Linked DNA regions of Solanum lycopersicum. The main gene of each other region encodes a partner of the protein of the gene in region 2 in a complex. Links are inferred from orthologs where the notes say so. Each region holds a gene or a part of one and is shown on either strand. Other genes may lie near its edges.

Region 1 (4,272 bases), on a different chromosome or scaffold from region 2:
TTGTGCTGCTTCGACGGAATAAATTATCAGACTTACACACCAAAAAACAAGGCAAAAGGGAGTTGATAAAATGAAAGTTATGAATGAGGAACTAACTTAATGACAACTTCATATGCCACAGACAACCAGAGATTGACAAGGAATAAAACTGAAATCCAGATCAAACAAATTATGGAAGGAAGAATATCACCAGGCAACCAGTTCTAAGATGTACTCAAATAAGACTAAAAATGCAAAACCTAGACCACAGAAGGACAAACTATGGATCAACATATAACTAATTCTTTAACTGATAAATGGCTCTTACAACTCCAGGAGATATAATTTGTGCTTCACTACTAGCTAGGAAAGAAAGCCATGGCAAGTTTCTTATAACATATATGCCCAATGCTTTAAACCAAGTAAGTAGATCAAACAGAAATAGCAAATGGAAGCATAACTAGAGAAGAGACCGCTGACTGCAACAATGAAAACTTACCTGCAAGAGGATTGACCCCTGCCTGCTTATATAAACGTGAAGTCTCAAGTTGGATTCTCTCCTGAATGAAAGATAAGATAAAAAATGTAAGTTTGTTTTCTAAACACCTCACGGAAAAGGACACAACAACAATCAAAATTCTGTTAGTATAGCTTCACAACATTAGAAACACCTTTCCTTTTATTGAACAAGTTTTTTTATCACCATAAGCAATGTCCTTTTCTCTTTTGATAAGAGAAGTAATACTATGGCCACACAAAGTAAAAAAACTCTGAAGTACCCATATTAAGCTGAAATCTAACAAGCAAGTTGTAACAGTTACAGTATCAATCTGCTCATACTTCACTCTTTTTTACAGCACTAAGTACCAAAGAATACACATACATAGGTCAAATTTGGAAAGTCATATAGTTCTGAAAAGAAGTTAAGATGAAATAGAAAGTATCAATCAACATGAATTTGAGTGCACCTGATTTCCAGCATATCTTTGTTGAATAGCTTTGATCTTTGGTTGGAGATTTTGCATTGCTAAAGTTGATTCAACCTTTCAAATGACATAATGTCATACATCAGCAATAACTCCATTGCAGTGATTTAACAATTAATGAGGAAGAAAGGAACAGGGACTCCTGTTGACTTGAGTTTGACAAAACAATCAGTTATATTAATTTAAGTTCTCATCCCATTGCACTATTAATAATACCAGATAGACTTAACTAAGTGCCAAGACCTGAAATACCAGACCAACTCTAAAACATCCAGGCCTAGCAGCAGCTTTATCACAGACTCACCTGTTGCTTTGTCAAAGGGAAAGTGGCAGCTTTAACCAGGAGAGTAAGCAATATGATTGCGAATCCATAGGAATAAGGCACATGCACAGCTTGCAGTCCATCCTTCATCACCTGAAAAGACCGAAGTGAATGAGTGAATATAGAGTACATGAGGCATAATAGTATCAGTATTGCAAAAAGAAGGTCTTTTAAAACTAAAACCAAAAAATAATGCATCTAGAACTGAAACAAAATAAGCTTCAGTACTTGTACTTCTCCATGTGATCTATTGAAGATAACCAACCTGTCGTCCTATGATAATCTTGATAAGGTTTCTTCAGCATCCACTAATTTCCTTTTTCTTTATTGGGAGGAAAGACAGAAGGGGAGGAGGATAGTGGATGGTATGATAAGGGGGAAATCTGGTTGTCGACTTATACTAATATGAAAGATGACAAAAGTTAATAGATAAGTCTTTCAATAGGTAGAAAAAAAATTCAAAAAAAAAGTTTAGTTTACTTCAAGTGTTACCAAAGGTGAAAAGCAAAAATACATTTAAAAGAAACATACCCTCAAGTTTGTTAGAACTTTAACTGCAACGCATAAATAAAGTGTAGACTTTAATGAATAAAGGCGCAAATGAGGAGAAAAATAGAACACCTGTATAAGGCAAGAGTAATAACTGTAAACACAAACAACAACTATCCGGATAAAGTGTTCATAAAAGTTTAGTAGCTAGACAAAATCTTAGTAGGAAACATGATGTCAAACAATACTAGGTCCCTATACTTCTTCGGCCTGCCTCTATCTCTCCTAATGCCTGCTATTGCCAACCGCTCACACCTTCTCACTAGGACATCTACGTCTTCCCTCAAGTATTTCACCTCTCCTAACTTCTCATTCCTAATATGAAACTTAAAAGGTTATATAAACATGAAATAACGACACAAGGAAGCAAGTGAAATCATTATTATGAATATGCCCAACTTATATAAAATCCAAAAGACCGTAACAATGATCATAATTAGTTCAAAAGTATGTGTTACAAAATTTAACCTTCAACACAACTTCCATGGCGTCAGAAATGAAAGCAAACCAACCACCACTTTTCTGAGCAGTACCGGCAGCAGTAACATCGGGAGCAACACCAGGATCAGCCGCGACGGCAGCATCAGCTAACGTGTAGAGAAGTCCCTCCGCTCGGCTTACAACAGCTTCAAAATCAAAATTAGAGTGAAGCGAGTGAATCGGAGGAAGGTCATGGAAGCTGAATTTCACTCTAGTAGAGATAAGTCTTCGCCGGTGAAATACATGGCGAGAAAGCGACGGCAAAGGAGTTCCGATGAACGATGATGGAGATGAAATTAAGGTTTTCGCCATGGGAAAAATTGCTCCGGCGGGGATGAACGGAGAAAAATGGGAAGAGTTCAATTCAGCTTCTCATGGAAGAGAGGGAAATTTGTGGATTGGATGAGTGGCAGGAGAGCTATTAGAAGAGAAAAAATATCCCTATCCATTTTTTTCTTATTAAAATTCCGTTATTTTGTTTGGTATTTCGTTGTGGTTACTCCACAACTACTAATTTTTCTTTTTTTTTTTAAAAAAAAATGTATTTATTATTATAAGGGAAAAGGAATATGCCCCTAAACTATTTAAAAATATTTAGATATATCCTCCGTTTAAAGTTTGGTTCACTCATGCCTTTGCCATCCAACTTTTGGTCCAAATATGTTTTATGGGCGTTAGTTGTTATGTTGGACATATCCAACTTATTTTTCATTTCTTTTAAATGTCACATGTAATTGACATGTCATTTTGACCTTACCACATGATATTTATATAAAATGAAAAGGTATTCGGACTCATAAACACCTAATTCAACCCATAAATCAACCACCTTTTAAATAAATTATCCGACCAATTTTAACAATTTTGTTTAATTTTTATTTTTTTCGATAAATTCTAAAAATGAGTAATTGATTAATTAAAAAATAGGAAGAATATGAAAAAAATATATAATTAACGCCAAAAATTCACAAATAATTATAGTAACCTTAAATCAACTTAAACACTTTTTTAAATTTTTTTTATTTTTTTTGATAAATCCTGAAATGAGCAATTGATTAATAAAAAATATGAAAAAAATATAAAATTAACGCCAAAAATTAAAAAATAAATACAGTAACCTTAAATTAAATAATTTCAATATTTTTTTATTTTTAAAATTTTTCGGCAAATCCCAAAAATGAGTTATTAACAAAAAATAAGAAGAAGAAAAACTACGCAAAAAATTCACAAATAAAGAATAGGAAAATATGAAAAAATATAAAACAAAAAAATTGTTGAAATTATTGAATTTAAGGTTACTAAATTTATTTGTGAATTTTGACGTAAATTTTTTATTTTGTTTTCATATTTTTCGCTTTTTATTAATAAATTATTCATTTTCGGGATTTGCCGAAATTTTTTAGAAAAGTTATAGAATGAATACTATATTTATTTGTGAACTTTTGACGTTAATTTATATTTTTTTCATACTTTTTATATTTTTTATTAGTCAATTTCTCATTTTTGAGATTTACCGAAAAAATAAAAAAATTTAAAAAAATATTAAAATGTTAGATTTAAGGTTACTATATTTATTTGTGAATTTTTTGCGTTAGTTTTATATTTTTACATATTTTTCGTATTTTTTATTAATCAATTATTTTTTCGGGATTTACCAAAAAAATAAAAATTAAATAAAATTGTTAAAAATGGGTTGGATAGTGAATTTTAAAGGAGTTGATTTATGGGTCGAAAATGACAACTAACGCCCATAAGGGAATATTTGGACCAAAAGTTGGACGGCGAGGGCATGAGTGAACCAAACTTTAAATCGAGGATAAATCTAGACCTTTTCGAATAGTTTAAGGGCATATTTGACTCCTTTCCCTTGTTATAGATATATTGAATTAAATGGATTGTCCATTAAGCTTATCATAAACTTATCCTTATCATGGATATGTATTCCCAAGGTGATAT
Region 2 (3,031 bases):
AACGTTTTGCTGCTGATTACAAATTAAAGAAATTATTACTATTGTATTTAATTTGAATTAATAGTTTGTTATTTCATAATTTTCTCAACATTAATTATTAATTATTTTTCTTTATTAGGTACTTTTTCTATTTCATATTAACAGAATATTTGAGAATTTTTTATTGTTCAAAGTAATTGAATCGTTGAAAATTTAAGATGAATATTTAATTTTTTTTCTATAGCCCTTTTCTTTCACTTTTGCGTTGACGTGATGTAATTGGTTGAATTTCATACAAGTACGTATAACACAAAATCTACAAAATCAGCTTTAAGAGGTGAAAATGTATAGTTCATTTTAGTTATTTTTAATTAATTAATATGTGTTTTAATTTATTAATATAATAATAAAAATTAAATTAATTTGATATAAATAATTTTTTTAAAAAAAAGTTTATATGATTTTAAATGTCCGATGCCATTCTTTTCCAAGATTCTCTCACCCAAAACATAAAAATTACTAACATTATGAACATAAACATAAGTTGATTAAATAGAAACATAGTGAATTAAAATATTTATGTACATTAGCAGATTAAATATATATTGACAAAAAAAAAATACAACATTTATGGTAAAGAACTTTTTGACTATTTTTATTTTGTTTTTTATCATTAAATTAATTTTAAATTCATATAGTAACAGAACGCTTGAATTCAAGAAATATTTTTTAAAAAATAATTTATCGCTCCATCACAATTGTAATTGCAATCTTTGATCATTTGAACATGCCTTACAGCAGTTCTTCTTTTGTTTTTTCAGTTGTGTTTGAAGCACAACTAAATTTAATACACAAAATTTATTTAAAATAAGAGAAGATGCCCAAGTACCCTTTCAACTTATGCCCGAAATCTCAGAGACACACTTATACTACTAAGGTCCTATTACCTCTTGAACTTATTGTATATGTAATTTTCTACCCCTTTTTAGCCTACGTGGCACTAGTTCAAAAAAAAAGTCAATCATCATTGGGCCCACAAAATAGTGCCACGTAAGCTAAAAAGTGGTAAAAAATTATTAATAAAATAAGTTCAGGGGTAATAGGACCTTAGTATAGTATAAGTGTGTCTCTGAAATTTCGAACATAGATTAAGGGAGTACTTGGACATTATCCCTTAAAATAATAATACTTCATATCTAGAACTCGAATTGATTGATTTAGTGAAGTGAATAGATATAATATCTTATCCTAAAGGCATCCATCTCATAGGATTATGGAGATGTTCATGGCCATTCAAAAGAAAGAGCGCCACCAAATCTCTTTCCCACTTCTCCAATGGATGCTCTCTTTGTCAATTCATCTCTCTCCCGACTCAAACTCAAATTCTCTTCTCAATTTCCTACATTCTCTCCCCTGCCCCATCACTCTTATCTCCCACTTAAAAAACTTAATTTACCACTTGTATTTGCCACGCTTCAGAACCAACACCAACAACAATCAGCAGCCGAAGAAGTAGCACAAGAAGAATTTGAAGATTACGATGCCGACGAAACGTATGGAGAAGTTAACAAAATCATTGGGAGTCGAGCAATTGAAGGTGGGAAAGGAATGGAGTATTTGATTGAGTGGAAAGATGAACATGCCCCTACCTGGGTTCCCTCTAATTTCATCGCACAAGATGTTGTCGCTGAGTATGAAACCCCTTGGTGGAACGCTGCGAAAAAGTCAGATGAATCGGCTCTTCGGGAACTTATTGAAGCCGAGGACGACAGAGATGTGGATGCTGTTGATGACGATGGACGAACGGCTTTGCTCTTTGTTTCGGGACTCGGGTCGGAGCCTTGCGTCAAGCTGCTCGCTGAAGCCGGCGCCGACGTCAATTACCGCGACAGGAGCGGCGGTTTGACGGCTCTGCATATGGCTGCAGGATATGTGAAGCCTGGAGTCGCTAAGCTGTTAATTGAGCTCGGCGCAGACCCCGAGGTGCAAGATTACAGAGGGCAGACGCCGCTGAGCTTAGCGAGGATGGTCTTGAATCAAACACCTAAAGGAAACCCAATGCAATTCGCGAGGAGATTGGGATTAGAGAATGTGATTAGGGTATTGGAGGATGCAATTTTTGAGTATGCACAAGTGGAGGAGATATTGGAGAAGAGAGGAAAAGGTGAAAATGTTGAGTATTTAGTGAAATGGAAGGATGGGGAGGATAATGAATGGGTTAAAGCATGGCTGATATCTGAGGATTTGGTGAGAGATTTTGAGGCTGGATTGGAATATGCAGAGGCAGAGTGCATCTTGGAGAAGAGAGAGGGTGACAACGGGAAAGGCGAGTACTTGGTTAAATGGACTGATATTGAGGAGGCTACTTGGGAACCAGAAGAAAATGTTGACCCCCTTCTGATAGAAGATTTTGAAAAAGGTCAACAGAAAGTAGTAAGTTGAATTCATGGTTTCTCTTTTGGCTTGTATTTTTCTTTTTCTGTGGTAATATAATGCTCTTTTGTTTTATAAACTATAGTTGTGGTAATGTATGTAATTCTGAGGTTGTCTAACAGGTTGAGGATAATTTCCTTTTAGTGATCCAAATCTGGAAAATTGAAGATCACCCTTTAGCATATCTTAATTCTTAAATGATACTAACCAATCAAATATTACGTTCTATTGGTGATTGTCCGAATCCTCTGTAAAGGTGGATGTTTTTAACAATTGAATTGATATCTTTGTTGAATGAAGTGAAAACCCTCTGAAGGGTCATGAAGAAGATTCTAGGAGATAGTTTTAAGTGAAAAGGTGGTGGTAGTTGTGAATTACTTTTGCAAAATGTGCCACTGCGGATTCATCCATGTCTGAAGCCGTAGTGGTGTTAGAATTCTGACTTCTGAGTACGCAGTCTGAAGCTGAGAGTTTTAGCAGACTTGTATTGTTGAGTTAGGTTTTGATGTCTGGCTGGCTGATAGCTTTTACCAATCTAATATTAGTACCTGAAGCTATCCCTATTTGAGGGAGTACTCCTATTCGAGGTTGTATGGATGATGTTTTCTGTTGTTTTGTA
Region 3 (4,300 bases), on a different chromosome or scaffold from region 2:
GACCATGCCACCAGTGCCCATAAATGGTTTGACAATAGAATGAGAAAAAGGGAAAATGCTAATATTAGAAGGCACTTGGAGAAATGCAGGTTCTACGACCATATATGTAAATTGCAATAGAATGAGCAAGAGAGAGGGGAGTGAGAGAAAGTAAAGGAAGGTCAGGAAAGGGAGAAGGTGAAGTTTGGAAGTCCACCTGCTTCTTTAGATATAAAGCTAACTTTGCACTAACAGTTGTCTTCCCAACACCTTGTAGACCGGCCAATAGTATTACGGTGGGCTTAGATTTAGCAAAAACCAGTTCAGAAACCTCTCCACCCATCAGTTTCACAAGCTCGTCACGTACAGTCTACACCAACCAAATGAGACAAAGAAAATGTTCAGATCGAGCTGATAGCAAATTGTGCAAGCAATTAACAACAGAAGGGTGACCGTCTGTTATCAATGTACAAATGTGTATTGTTCAGAGTCATCAGTTCAAAAATACATACCTTAACTAGTTGCTGATCTGGTTTTACACCTCGAATCAAACCAGTGCCAACGGCTTCTTCACTAACAGACTGAACAAACCTTCTGACAACTGGGAGACTAACCTGCCGATTAAAGTTAAATAAGCGGCGAAATTTTATGTATAGAGATTAGTTGTTGAAACAGTAAGCAACATACATCAGCTTCTAAAAGAGCCCTCCTGATGTCCCTCATAGGTTCCACGATGTTTTCCTTGGTCAAAACCTCTGAGGCACAAGGAATTCAAACAACAGCCACTTTATCATTATATATAACCACATATTTAGTAACAAGGGCAATAAGAACTTCAACCTCTAAAATTTGAAAGATTGAGGATATAGAAAATATGATTAGAAATTTGAATTTGGACAAGGCAGACAAGTCACATTTTTAACAGTAAAATACTCTCCAATTAATTTATTCCTACAACTTTATAATATCCAGCAATAATGTATGGAACTAAAAAGGAGAAGTATATCCCTGTTATAGAAATCCAATGACCCATAGGCCATAGTTGTTAATATGTTGTACTCTTTGCATTTAAAACCTTATAGTAGCAAGGCCCCTTCCCTTTCCATACACTTCATTGGAGTTTAACAATCAATTATACATCTTCCCGGTTTCTTCTCTTGAAGTATAATTCATTATACCCCATCTGGCACCTCCTCGAATGGATCAATATTACCATCTACGACAACTCATCATCCACCCTGAAAATGAAATCAGTCATGTTGTTGAATCCTCTAAACACGCGGGATTTAAGTCTAGACATTAAGCTTCATGTTCCAACTTATATAGCTTCTATCTCCACATCACCCCGTCCTGACAGCCCACATTTCCACTAAAACATTCTCATAGCAGAAGGTTAGCTCAACTACTTACCACTTCAAGAATCAATTGGCTTGGGCATAAAATACTGGGATTTCCTGTCCCACTCTATCTCCGAAGCCTCAACATCCATAAAGGAACTCCTCACTGATACATTTTCAGCTCTGATGTATGTTAAAATCTTGGATATGAGACGTAATTCCTAATTAAGGATCTATTCCAGGTTGTGTTTATTTTGTATTTCAGCATGTTAAAATCTTGTAAAATGAGACTTAATTCCTATTTAAGGATCGATTCCAGGTTTTTATATTTTTTTTTGTAAGTCTTGCTGAACTCATTCACCAAGATTGATATGACCCTTGGATGACTACATGCCACATTTTGAAGAAGCTTTAGTTCACTCCTATCTTATCTCACAGCCTTTACTTAGCAAAGGCATTTACTTTAACTGAAATTGTGATGACATCAAATAAACACCTCTGATGTACTAATGAATTATCTTAAGATATTATCCTGAATATGAAAAAACAAGAAGACATTGTTCTTGAAGTCATATTTTTGAACTATCATCCCTATCCAAGGTATCGATTTTCAGTTCCCTTTCAAAACAGTCCAGATATGACACCCGGGCCTAACTCCAAAAACTAGCTCACGACGGAAGGATTACCCAATCCATATAAACTGATTTGGGACTATAACCCACTTTAACACCTCATGCCTAACTAGAGCATAAACCGGGAGTCCAAACAGGTATGAACCTAGCTAAGTAGCTACGATAGCATATAAAGATATGACACTTACGCCTAACTCAACCTCAAAACGTTAGCTCACGAAGAGAGGATCGTCCAAGTCCACATAACAGACCACCGGTCCATTCCCAACCAACCAACATGCGACTCTAACACACTCTAACATGTACCTACTCAAGATTAACAATTCAAGCTCCCATACTTCAAATTTTCACATAAAACTAGCTCATTTTTAAATTTAAAAAAGAGTATTTTTTTTGCTTTTACCTTCTCCTTTGAGCTTGTTCCAAGCATTTTCCAATCCGCTAGTGAGCTGCCCAAACATCTCAGCTCTAATAACTCCACTCATTTCCCTTCTTACCACATTCTTGGAATTGATCACCCTCCATGTATCCCTCTACATAAAAATTCAATCTTTAACCAAAAACTACAAAAAAAAAAAAAAACTAACCAAAATCCAAAAGGGTCTTACAGTAAATGAATTTCTTGAAGAAAATGAAAGAGAATGAGTAGAACCAATCCAAGAAGAAGAAGAATTACAAGTGGGATTAAGTTTAGAAGATGAAAGGGTGGCTTTAGAAAGTGGAAAGAAATGGTGAGAAGCCATAGTTGAAGTGAAAGAAGCAGTGGCTTCCATGGTAGGATTAAAGAACAAACAATCAAAAGAAGAAGCAAAAATTGAAGCTTTTTTCTTCTTCTTTTATGCTTTATCCATTAGAAAAAAAAACAAAAATGTAATCTATGGTCTATCTACTAGGGGGATTTTTACAGTATTCTGTGCATCGCAGGCTATCGTAATATCCTACTCCATCAACTTATTTTTATTTTTAACGTCGGAATGATTCTTATTAAGTGACGTCAAAATATAATCTAAAAAAATAGATATATACTCAAAAAATTTTTTTTGCTATTTGTAACCTCTATATTTAACATTCTTATGTCTTTGTTGTGTCGAACACTTAAATATATATATTCGTTAAATCAATCGTTAGAGTATTTATCACGGCTCAAATTCATGTTTTTCTTGTGAATTTTGCTCAAGCTACCTCATAAATGTATTTAAAATTGTAGGACAAATTTTAGCGAAAACTAAATCTATGAGGATGGCACGACTGGGATTGCTTCGAAGAAGAAATTCCATTGAGCCATCAGGCGACTCAGTCTCAAATCTCAATCCTACGTGAACCAGAAGTCTTATACCACATCTGAAGATATAAATGCTTTCGTAGAAACTAAAATTCGCTCACTTTCTTGAGATCCAAAGAAGAGCAGAGCTTCAACACCGACTATCCTTCTATTTTATCAGGAGAAACGCGCTTATGAACATGTCTCGCCTCAACGGACCATTGTGTATGCATGCAAGTTTTTAGACTCGATAATAACATAGGTTGAGAAAATATTTCATGAGATTCGTTAAGCTAAAACAGATAATACGTTATATAAAAATGCATTAAAGCAATGATTCACCCCTTTTTTGTCTAAATAAATGACCGAACATCTCCACCTTCACAAAAACACCAAATTCTTGTCACTTTTCCATACTATCAAATCCACCATTTTCACCAAAGCTTCAAGCTTTACTACTAATGCTGCTACTCCATGGAATACCCATTTGAGAAATCTCTCAAAACATGGTCAGTACAAAGAAGCACTCGTTCTTTACCGTCAAATGCTTCAATCTGGAGCTACCCCAAATGCCTTCACTTTCCCTTTTGCTCTCAAATCTTCAGCTTCACTCTCCCTTCCTATTACCGGAAAACAACTTCATTGTCATGTTATCAAGTTGGGTTGTGAGTATGAGCCTTTTGTTCAAACTGCATTGATGTCTATGTACTGTAGATGTAAGTTAACTGAGTTTGCACAGAAAGTGTTTGATGAAATGCCTCAAAGAAATATTACTGTTTGTTACAATGCTTTGATTTCTGGGTATGTTCAGAATGGTAATTTCTTGAATGGGTTTTTGTTGTTTGATGAAATGAGGTTGAGAGGAGTGTTGTTTAATGCGGTTACTGTTTTGGGATTGGTTCCAGGTTGTACTGCTTCGCGGTATCTGTGGTTGGGGATGTCGTTGCATTGTTTGAATGTTAAGTGCGGATTGGTGAATGATTTGGCTGTTGCAAATTGCCTGTTGACAATGTATGTGCGTTGTGCGTGTATGGAGTTAGCGAGGAAGTTGTTTGATCATATACCAGAAAAGGGATTGATCACTTGGAATG

What was found. The genes of interacting proteins can lie anywhere in the genome.
Region 1: the proteins of signal recognition particle 43 kDa protein, chloroplastic (region 2) and inner membrane protein PPF-1, chloroplastic are in contact, whole or in part, in a crystal structure (PDB 5E4W), measured with the Arabidopsis thaliana proteins. The link is inferred for Solanum lycopersicum from reciprocal best matches to the Arabidopsis thaliana genes CAO and ALB3. Residues at the interface, in NP_566101.1 of Arabidopsis thaliana: Asp273, Glu274, Asp312, Tyr313, Gly316, Leu317, Glu318, Tyr319, Ala320, Val321, Ala322, Trp343, Asp345, Met346, Thr350, Glu352, Asn356, Asp358; in NP_180446.1 of Arabidopsis thaliana: Lys454, Arg455, Ser456, Lys457, Arg458, Lys459, Arg460, Thr461.
Region 3: the proteins of signal recognition particle 43 kDa protein, chloroplastic (region 2) and signal recognition particle 54 kDa protein, chloroplastic are in contact, whole or in part, in an NMR structure (PDB 2HUG), measured with the Arabidopsis thaliana proteins. The link is inferred for Solanum lycopersicum from reciprocal best matches to the Arabidopsis thaliana genes CAO and CPSRP54. Residues at the interface, in NP_566101.1 of Arabidopsis thaliana: Glu268, Tyr269, Ala270, Glu271, Val272, Lys283, Val289, Trp291, Glu298, Trp299, Val300, Lys301, His304, Val305, Ala306, Val309; in NP_196014.1 of Arabidopsis thaliana: Pro532, Gly533, Thr534, Ala535, Arg536, Arg537, Arg539, Lys540, Ala541, Asp542, Ser543.

What each region holds. Positions count from the first base shown.
Region 1 is NC_090810.1:57,205,605-57,209,876, reverse strand, and holds the start of inner membrane protein PPF-1, chloroplastic, read right to left. Parts: upstream 2,801-4,272; 5' UTR 2,629-2,800; coding exon 2,305-2,628; intron 1,381-2,304; coding exon 1,270-1,380; intron 1,023-1,269; coding exon 948-1,022; intron 540-947; coding exon 479-539; intron 1-478. UniProt on the Arabidopsis thaliana protein: Required for the insertion of some light harvesting chlorophyll-binding proteins (LHCP) into the chloroplast thylakoid membrane.
Region 2 is NC_090801.1:66,170,889-66,173,919, forward strand, and holds signal recognition particle 43 kDa protein, chloroplastic, read left to right. Parts: upstream 1-1,314; coding exon 1,315-2,421; 3' UTR 2,422-2,531; downstream 2,532-3,031.
Region 3 is NC_090808.1:3,907,497-3,911,796, forward strand, and holds the start of signal recognition particle 54 kDa protein, chloroplastic, read right to left. Parts: upstream 2,801-4,300; 5' UTR 2,722-2,800; coding exon 2,557-2,721; intron 2,482-2,556; coding exon 2,352-2,481; intron 1,218-2,351; exon of another isoform or gene 735-1,217; coding exon 667-734; intron 594-666; coding exon 492-593; intron 350-491; coding exon 197-349; intron 1-196. Other genes in the region: putative pentatricopeptide repeat-containing protein At3g11460, mitochondrial, read left to right, coding at 3,571-4,300.